Arabidopsis thaliana: one gene and its partner. The protein of the gene in region 1 interacts with the protein of each later gene in a pairwise test. Each region holds a gene or a part of one and is shown in the gene's direction. Other genes may lie near its edges.

The links.
Region 2: the proteins of AT1G50280 (region 1) and AT5G57860 interact in a two-hybrid assay, tested with the Arabidopsis thaliana proteins (one large-scale study listed by BioGRID).

What each region holds. Positions count from the first base shown.
Region 1 is NC_003070.9:18,622,940-18,628,464, reverse strand, and holds AT1G50280 (Phototropic-responsive NPH3 family protein), read left to right. Parts: upstream 1-2,023; 5' UTR 2,024-2,172; coding exon 2,173-2,235; exon of another isoform or gene 2,236-2,320; coding exon 2,321-3,502; intron 3,503-4,214; exon of another isoform or gene 4,215-4,275; coding exon 4,276-4,608; 3' UTR 4,609-4,630; downstream 4,631-5,525. Other genes in the region: AT1G50290 (uncharacterized protein), read left to right, coding at 203-607; AT1G50270 (Pentatricopeptide repeat (PPR) superfamily protein), read right to left, coding at 4,631-5,525. UniProt on the Arabidopsis thaliana protein: May act as a substrate-specific adapter of an E3 ubiquitin-protein ligase complex (CUL3-RBX1-BTB) which mediates the ubiquitination and subsequent proteasomal degradation of target proteins.
Region 2 is NC_003076.8:23,435,806-23,440,204, forward strand, and holds AT5G57860 (Ubiquitin-like superfamily protein), read left to right. Parts: upstream 1-1,748; 5' UTR 1,749-1,924; intron 1,925-2,114; exon of another isoform or gene 2,115-2,150; 5' UTR 2,151-2,185; coding exon 2,186-2,188; intron 2,189-2,468; coding exon 2,469-2,654; coding exon of another isoform or gene 2,655-2,669; exon of another isoform or gene 2,670-2,800; coding exon 2,801-2,840; intron 2,841-3,223; coding exon 3,224-3,282; 3' UTR 3,283-3,598; downstream 3,599-4,399. Other genes in the region: ADCL (D-aminoacid aminotransferase-like PLP-dependent enzymes superfamily protein), read right to left, coding at 1-618, 707-873, 1,110-1,156, 1,347-1,482; eIFiso4G1 (MIF4G domain-containing protein / MA3 domain-containing protein), read left to right, coding at 3,950-4,123.

The sequences.
Region 1 (5,525 bases):
GAATAAAAAAAATAGAACAAGAAGATTTTTGTGGACAATATAGTTTCTGAAACTATAATAGGATAAGAAAAAATTAAGCTTATTTGTGGGGATATATATTAATGTCATATCATTGTCATAAACATGGTCGGCAAAACTTGGGACGGCAGTTTACCAGAATAATCCGGTCGACAGAATTCAACAGTTCCTCTCTCTAAAAGATATGAAGGAGATTAATTTTGGCTTTGTTAGCAAAGATGGCCGGTCCTCTTCTGGCAAATCCGGCTTTTACAAGCGGTTTTGGCCGGCTTTTATCCTTCCTCCGCCGTTCGATCGGTTGTTCTTACCGATTGCTTTAGTTTCTTTTTCAGTTTTTCTTTCAATAATTTCTAAAGATTTCAATTGGAGATTAATTTTAGGTCATAATAGCCTAAGATTAAGTTTTCGGATTTGTATCTTTAGAAAGTTTGATTTGCAGAATTACCTCAAGTATGAAAGGAAGTTTTGTTTCCAGCATATTGGGATTGCCTGTAGCCGTTTCTACATGTTTATGGAGCTTCGATCGATCAAATTTGAGGAATACTCAGATTTTTCTTTCCTCATTACCTGTTTTTGCCAAATCTCTTGATTGATGATTTTGGAATTGAATTCTCTGTTTGTGTATCCTCCCTTCTCTGTTTAGCAGTTTCCGGTGAGAAAAAAACAAAAATCGATGTTTGCCCTTTTTCGACGTTGATTGTGTTCACCGGATCGGAGTCTTTGACGGCACAGGATGACAGGAACGTTTCATCGCTTCTCTTGCAACACGTGTCTTGTTATACGATCGTGTTTTGTTAAAGAGATATCCTTCCTTTAAAGAAATGTAACTAAGTGGACCTTTGTTGGGCTGTATTCTGTGGATCATTAATAAACATAATCTTTCCAGTGAAAAAAAAAAAAAAAAACATGGTCGGATATGGGAAATACGATGAAAAAAGCTCGTCATGGACTCGCACTTAAAACAGGAAAATCTTTTTCGTCTAGACCCCACTTATTCACATGCACTACGACATAATTCCAAATTCTTTTAAAAAAAAAGAAGAAGTTAATAGAAAGAGTGACCAAAGTACAGTATATGATGATATTTATAACATACAGTTAAACTTCTATAAATTAATAGTCGATAAATTAATAACCTTTATAAATTAATAAATTTTTCCAATCCCGAATTTGTACCAGTGTAAAAAGTGACACAAATCGATAAATTAATAAGATAATAACTTTTTTGAAAGTTCTATGTAAATATATGGTCCCATCAATATCATAAATTAATAATTGTATAAATATATCAATTATATATATACATTATATGTAGGAATTTTTCTGAAATATAATTCTAATATTTTTTTGCTTAAATTTGTATTTATTTTTATTTAAAATTTAGTTCTCGTATTTTACTGTATCAAAAACTTTTGGTGTTGTTTTCTAAACATGATATTATTGTTTAGTTGTAATTGATTCTTGAAAGATATTTTCTATAATGAAAAAAATCCTATAATTTTTTTTGAAAAGTTACTAAATTAGGAAAATCTCTCTATAAATTAATAAATATTAATTTATCGATAAATTAAAACCTCTCTAAATTAATAAAATTTTGTAGTCCCAACATTATTAATTTATAGAGGTTTTACTGTATGTTGTGTTTAGTAATGCTGTATTAATTTTTTTAGTGACCTTTCAAACACTTTGAAGTTTTGATATTCATGTTTGAGTTTGAAAAGCTCATGTACAATATGAACCGAATACTTGACAGTGAAAAATAATTATCATAATTTCTTAAAAGTCAATCCTTCTCAAAGATATAGGAATCAAAATTCTACAGCATTCTTTTAAAAACAACATAACAAGACAAACAAAAGAAATCAATTTATGGGAATTTGAGAGACTTTGGAATTTATGTGGTTTTATTATACTAGCTCAACATAAACTTTGTCTTACTTACCTCTAATTTCTCAAACTTAGATTCAGTTTATATATTTTTGTGCATTTTACAGGTGTAAATAAAGCCAAATGAAACACTATATATATCCACTCATTTACATGTGCCCACTATAATTATTGCTCTATTCAATCCAAGAAAAAAACACAGAGGAAGAACAGAAAAAAGCTCACAAAGTCACAAGACCTCAGTAGGCTTCCTAGTTGTTCTATGAAATGTCTCCTCTCAACGATCTTAAGATCAATCTCAATGGCCAATACACATTCTTCCTCAATCAGGTAAAGAACCAAACCTAAAACTCAGTTCAAAAAACCACAGTCTTGATTATGCTCTGTTCTTAATTCTCTATGTGCTCTGTTTTAGAACGTGATTTCAAAGTACTCTGGAAGCTTGAGGAAGATGATTAAACAGAGCAAAAAGAAGAGAAACAAGAAAAAGAGAATCATCACTATCGAGATTAATGATTTTCCAGGAGGACCAGATGGGTTTGAGCTGGTTTCAAGGTTCTGTTACCACAACGGAGAAATCTTAATCGACGTCTCAAACGTCTCGACTTTGTACTGCTGCTCTGTTTTTCTAGGCATGTCGGAGAAGTTCTGTTTCTCTAATCTCTTCCTTCAGACAGAGAAGTTTCTAGAAGAAGTGTTCTATGGGTCTTGGAGCGACATCGTTTCGTGTCTCAAGAACTGCGAGCAAGTGTTCTTCCAAGCAGATTCGTATGGTCTTGTAGATAAACTCATTTTCGCAGCTTTGAACAAAATCTCTCAGAATTCAGACGATTTTTCTTCTTCTTCGCTTTCTTCCTTCGCCTCTTCTCTTTCTCCTGAGATGGCCAAGAACACGTCAGAATCAGACGGTAGGTATATTTCGCGGTCTGTTGCTTGCGGAAGAAGCAACGAGTGGTGGTTCGAAGATATGACAAATCTTTCCCCGAAGATCATATTGAAGCTAGTTATGATCATTGGAGCTTACAAAACCAACATAAAAAGCTTAGTCCTAACCAGATTTCTTCTCCATTATCTCAAGACAAAACTCCAAACCAAATCAAGAACTACCACTGAGCTTATGAGGAACAAGCTCGAGTACTCAGATTTAGCTGACACAGCGGTTAGAGGAGTGATTTCCGCAGGGACACGTACGTTTTCTTGCAGGAAACTCTTCTGGATTCTTCGAGTTTTATCCAGTTTTAGCCTAAGTAGAGAGTCAAGAATCGGTTTAGAAACCCTAATAGGAGAAATGCTGGAACAAGCAACACTTGATGATCTTCTGATATCTGCAAGAGGAAGCAGAGAAAGTGGTTTCTACAATGTTGATCTTGTGATAAGATTACTAAAAGTATTTGTGAAGAACAGAGAAGAAGAAGAAGAAGAATCAAGAGAGAGGAATATGAAAGAAATTGGGAAATTGATTGATAAGTATTTGAGAGAAATATCTCCAGATCAGAATTTGAAAGTCCCCAAGTTTCTTGGTGTTGCAGAGAGCTTGCCGGATTCAGCTAGAGATTGCTTTGATGGAGTTTACAGAGCAATTGACATCTATCTACAGGTCAGTTTTTTTTTTTTGTTAAGTTATAAGTTTTACTATTATTTTTTTGTTTTTCTTGAATTTCTTCACCAACTAAATGATTGAGCCAAAAATGTTTTTTATCCTGCAAAAGTGAGACACAAAATAGAGAATAATTTTAATTTTCTATATGTATTGGACATATAGAAGATGACAAGTGCCATACAGATTTCAATACCATTTGCTTATTAATACATTTTGGCTTTATATATTTATTATGAAGAGTTGAAATAGAGTCAACTATTCTTTTATTCATCATAAACATAAAAGATTTGAAGTTTGAGACTTTGGGATATAAAGCCAAACTAAGTTTTAATATAAAACCGAAAATGTATCAAAGAAAAGATTTGAAGTTTTTTGAGATTAACGTGTATTAATAATATACACACATGGATGTATATATATGATTAAGAAGATTTGGAGTCATCCTTTAGATTCTTCACTCTGTCTTGTTACTGCCGTGGGGTTCATGTCAGACCCACAAGGCCACAACAGTCTTGACTGTATGTTTCTTCTTGTTTTTCTCTGTAATACTATTAGTAAAAATATCTTAAAAAGGAATAATTCTGGTAAGGTACTATCAGTTACACTTGAAATACATGTCAAAGACTAACAATTATTCATGTACTTTTCTATTCACATGTTTTACTGGAATTAACAATAGTTCATCATTTTCAAAAATTGTAGAAATAATGATTATTATGTCAGTGTATGATTGATTCCTTTATAATTTCTGTTGTTTTGTTATTGTACAGTCTCATCCGAATCTAACACCCCAAGATCGAACAGAGATATGTCGATGTCTCAACTACAAGAAACTAACAATGGAGACGTGCAAACAGCTCGCCAGAAACCCTAAGATCCCTCCAGAAATCGCCATTGAAGCACTCAAGTCCAGATGTGGGAATCAAGAACACACAACTTCAGATGTTAAAGTTGCAAACAAGAGTTTTTCTTGTAGATATTCAGAAGAGAAGAAGAAGCCTGTAGTATTGCATCTCGAGATAACAGAGAAATTAGCCGAGAGGTTGAAGACTAAAGGAGGATATAATTTGAAGGTTATGGATAGTTTCAGAGAAGGCTTATGAGGAAAATGGTAAACGTCCCAAGTCATGATTCAGCAGTCACATCTTCCAATTCATCTGGCAATCTCATTTGCACCCCAACAGTGTCGAGAGTCTTGTACAAATCATCAGATTCAAGGGGTTTCTTATCATCGAAAGCTATGAATTCACAAAGCTTGCCTTTCACTTCGATCCAACTAAATCCTGGCGATTTCACCACCTGTTGATCTTTCATTTGCTTTCTTACCCGAGCGACTTCATCCCAGTTTTGGGATTCCGAGTACAAATTAGCCAAGAGAGTGTATCTCCCACTATGACTAGGTTGCAGCTTGATCACACGGGAGGCTGCGTATTTACCTAACTCATAGTCTTTGTGTAACAAACAAGAGCCGAACAGAGCTCCCCATACCACATTTGTTGGCTCCATTGGCATTCTTTCTATCAAAGCTTTCGCCTCTTCTAGCAAACCTTTTCTTCCAAATAAATCAACCATACACGCATAGTGATCCGCTTTTGGCTCCATATTGAAACGTCCCTTCATGCTCAGGAAAAGCCTTCGACCCTCTTCCACAAGACCTCCATGAGCGCAGGCACTTAAGACAGCCATGAAAGTAACTTCATTTGGTGAAACATGACTACTCAACATGGTATAAAAGAGATCAAATGCATCTCTAGCATATCCGTGTGCTGCAAATCCATTAATCATCGCGGTCCAAGTATACACATTTTTCTCATGAAGTCTCTCAAAAACAAGTATAGCTTCCTCTAAACACCCGCACTTGACATAAAGATCAATCAATGTAGTTCCAGCTGTAGTGTTTATCTCAATCGAATTCTTAATCATATAACAATGCACCCTTCTTCCTCGGTGAAGTGCCCCGACATGAGCGCACGCCGAAAGAACACTGCTTAGAGTCTTCTCATTAGGCGCAACATCACTC
Region 2 (4,399 bases), on another chromosome or scaffold:
ATAAGCATCATCTCATCTGCTTTCTTTCCATCTTCGACTGTCACATCCATTACTTTCACAGTTTTAAGAATCCCCTTGCTTACAAGCTGTTCAGCGAGTGTAAGTGTTCTCTTTGCTGTACATCCGCTCAAAACGTTATCAAACCGCGGCATCACAAGCTCCTTACCACCATTAACAACAAACGCCACATTCATGTTCGGGCCTTCTGCAATAAACCCATCTTTACACACCCAAATACCTGCATAAGCTCCTTTGGCCTCAGCTTCCATTTGTGAGAGTACGTTAGGGAGGTAGTTAACACTTTTCACCGTGGCAAACTCTGGAGGCTTTATGGGGATGGACGAGGTCACTACCTTGACACCTATTGGGTTAATGGCGAAGTTCGTTTTTATAACAATGGCATAGAGAGTTGGTTTGAGACATTGAGATGGAGATAGGAGGAAATCCCCTGGCCCTGCAGAGAGCCAGTATCTTAGAGATCCATCTCTACATCCAGAAACGCTCACGGTTTGAATGAGAATTCTTTTAATAGTTTCTCGATCGAATGGAAGTGGGATCTTAGCCATTGATGCAGATCGCAAGATACGGTCAAGGTGCTGATCCAATTCATAAAGGTATCTGCTTATTCGTAGGACAACAAGCGAAGCTCAGATGATTGAGTAATAAGACAAATTAGAAAAGGGGGCTACTATTTAAAGTGACTAACCCATTGATGATCAGGGCAGTGTCAAAGACTCCATGACCACGGTGAACCATGTGATCATCCAATGGAAGAACCATCGCTGCTGGATCGGTTGTAATTCCATCAACAACACTTGAGTACATGGCCAAGAACTGTTGTCCTCCTCTTGCTAGTTTTAGCCTCTCACCAACCTTTTAAACCAAACATACTTCACTGATACTCAATCAATCAACGCCTCTAAACATAAACGGATAACAAACAAATGTCGCAATCCTTCATTACGGGCTGCATCTATAATTTCATTGACAAAACACAGAAATGTCTGGTGGTTGTGTCAATAAACATCTCTAGCTAACAAATTGTGAACAGTTTCAAGAGTTAAAGATATGATTGATAAGTACAGACATAAAAGAGAAACCATAATTACCTCATAGCTAGATAAAACAGGAACATTCCACGACTGAGAGCTTGAATCTGTGGAGAAACGAATGCAGATTTTTGTCATCAATTCCAGAACACTTATGGAATTTAACGATCAACAAATTGATCTCTTTTTTAGGGTAATAAGTGTACATTACCCTAAAAAGATTATAATAAATGCATCACCAATCACAATCCAGAAGAAAAATCAGAAAAGAGAGAACACAAGGTAGAAATGTCGAACCAGAACACATGAGAATCGTTCTTCTTCGTGTCAACCGACGCGGGAATCGAAAGCCATGTCTTAAAGGACATGGAACTTGAGAGAGAGACCTGAGATTCCAAGTGTTAACTGTAAACTCCAGCGACAAACCTGCCATGGGGTTTGGGACTCAAAAGAATAGAGAGAGAGAGATCATTCGGAAATAGCAACTTGCTTTGCATTATTATTATCTCAGTCGTGAACTGGAAGAAGACGAAAAAATATTTGGGCCTAACTTCACCACAAAAATAAAATAAAGTTATTCGGCCCATAAGCCCAATATGACTTTTCGCATTGTATTTTAATATTCAATCAATCAAAAATAAAAGCCTAAAACAAAACAAACCCTCTCTGTCTTTTAGTGGGTTTTGTACGACGCCTAATCGATGTTAGTATTATATCTGTAGCCAAACAAGCCACCAAAGTGGTATTTTTCTTCTTCCTTCCTTACCTTGTAGGGCTCTGAGCTCGAGTTATAAAAAAGCCAACTTTGATTTCTTTGCCAGTATTTCATCCTTAATCCATTCTTGTGGTCACTTTTTCGTCCTTAACCCATCTAGGTAAGTCGATTTCATTGTTTGTTATTTGAGTCAGTAATTTTTGAAAATCTTTGCTTTTTTTTCTTTTCTTTTGAATATCAAAAGAAGAAAAGATTTGGGGGATAACTAGATCATCTCTTTAGTTAAATTGACTCTTTGAGGTGTGTCAATTGTCACTGATAGTCTGATTAATCTTTTATTGGCATCTTAGAACAGATTTTGATTCTAAAGTCTTGTGAATCGGCAGCGGAAGAAGAGTGAATTGTTCATCCTTATCTTGCCATGGTAAACATTCTACTTCTTTTGTTCACTTTGATGGGTTTGATTGTTCTTAGTATATTCAATCCTTTGCTTATTTGACGGGAAGTAGAGATGTTTTTGGAATGAGAACATCTTTTCCCTTCTTAATTCCAGCTTCCTGATCACATTTATTACTGTTCTTCTTGGAGTAATAAAAGTTGAGATACTTTTGTCTTGCAATAATTTTGCTTTAATCAATCGAACAAGTTAGATTTTGGCCATATTGGTTGTAGTATTGATTAGTCTTGTGTAATATTGTTTGCAGGCTATGTATATTCGTGTGAAGCGCATGAAAACTACTTACTTTATCCAATGTGATCCAACAGAGACTGTTTTGGATGTTAAGCAAAAACTGTTTGCTCTCATTGAGCAACCAGTTAACAATCAGCGTCTGGTCTTAATGTCTACCGAAGAAGTATTAGAGGATTCGAAATCCTTAGCAGATCAGAAGGTATCACACGTTTGACTATCTAATATATTTATCTTTTGAGTCATTGCTCAAGTTTAAAAGAAGAACTTGGTCACATAGCCACTGCCTCCGTTTGCGTGTATTTGAAAGTTATAAGCTTGTCACCATCTTCTTTTTTGGTTGTTCAGGTTGAGAATGATGCAGTTGTGGCTTTGACTTTGAAGAAAGGTTATACCTTAGATCCTCTTATTCTGAAATTTTCAATTCCTTGTTGAAATGTCGTAATGGATCATGCATCTTGGTTAATTACTTATCACACTTCATCTTTCTATATGTTATTTGGTATATGAACCCTTCAAACTCCATTGACTTCAATTGAGCCTGTTATTGTGAATCTTAGTTATTTTGTTATCACTGGATAATCTTTTGGTATGTTTAAGAGTCTTGCCTAACTTTTGTGACCGTGATATAGCTGAATGTGATTCCTAATCTTATTATTCTTTTAGCCTTGTTTCGATTACACAACTGTTGAGGATGCTGTATTGCATTCTGAATCTATACAGCTATGAACGGCATAATGATTGCATTGCATCTCTTTTTTCCATGTGCAGATGATAACGAGTTTGAGGATGTCAACATTGCACAGCCCACCGACTTCTCACTTTCATGAAGAGTTGCTTACTGTATCAAGGAAACTTCAGGAGAAGGTATTGATTCAAAACACAAGGAGGAGTCTATAAACGCCAGAAGTTGTTTCTTTTGCGTCTCTGCTTGTGTTAACGCCTCTTTAGTTTGTTACAGACAATTGTTGTAAGTAAAGATATTGAGATGTGGAAGTTTGATTGCAACTTGCCAGATTAGTAGTTTTTACAGTCTCTTAATATGTTTACAATGAGCTAGAGGTGCAGCTAACACGAGCCGAGGAAGCTCCATTATTACCATTTGACATTGTTCATTGACGGAAAACCCAATGAGGGTGACAAAATAAAGAGACAAAAAAACAAAATGAAAGGACATAACTGTAATCTTAACGGAAAAAAACGTTAAGGCTATAAGTGTGTCTGGTTCGGGAAAAAGAGAGGAAAAAAACCCTAATAAAGAGAAGGGATTGTGTCTCCTTCTCGACTTCTTCTTCTTCTTCTCATTTCTCAATCTCAACTTTTCTCTTCTCTTCTCTTCTTCGCTAACGGCAGGAGAGAGAGAGACCCAGAAATCCGATCCCTCCTCTCCTTGGATTATCGGAGTCAGCGATTCATCGTCGCTGATAAAGCTTCTACCTTTCTCTTCGATTTTTGTTGTGAGATTCGATTCGATCTTAAGGCGGATTAGATCGAGGTATGCAGCAAGGCGATCAAACGGTTCTGAGCTTGAGACCTGGTGGCGGTCGAGGAAACAGACTATTTGGTTCCTCTTCTTCTTCTTCGTCTCTCTCTTTTGGCTCTCTTTCATCTTCGGATCTACCTCTCCTTCGTCCTCATGGTGGTGCTCCTGCTTCCTCTTTTCCCTTCAAGGTACCCTCATTTCTGGGTCCCCTCTCTAAATTTGGATCTAACTCCCTCTTCTTCCTCTGATTTAGAATTTGTTTTATCTCTCTTGTCTTAGCTTGAGCTAAAAATTTATCCTTTTTTACGGGTTTGTCGCAATCAGCAGCCTTTTTGTTTGGAATTATAATCTTTGGTATATTGCTGATTTGATTCTCTCAAATGTCTGAATTGGCTAATATCTTTCTGATTTGCGAGTTTTAATGCTTTGTGTTTGTAATAACTACTGAGCTCATGTTGGATTTT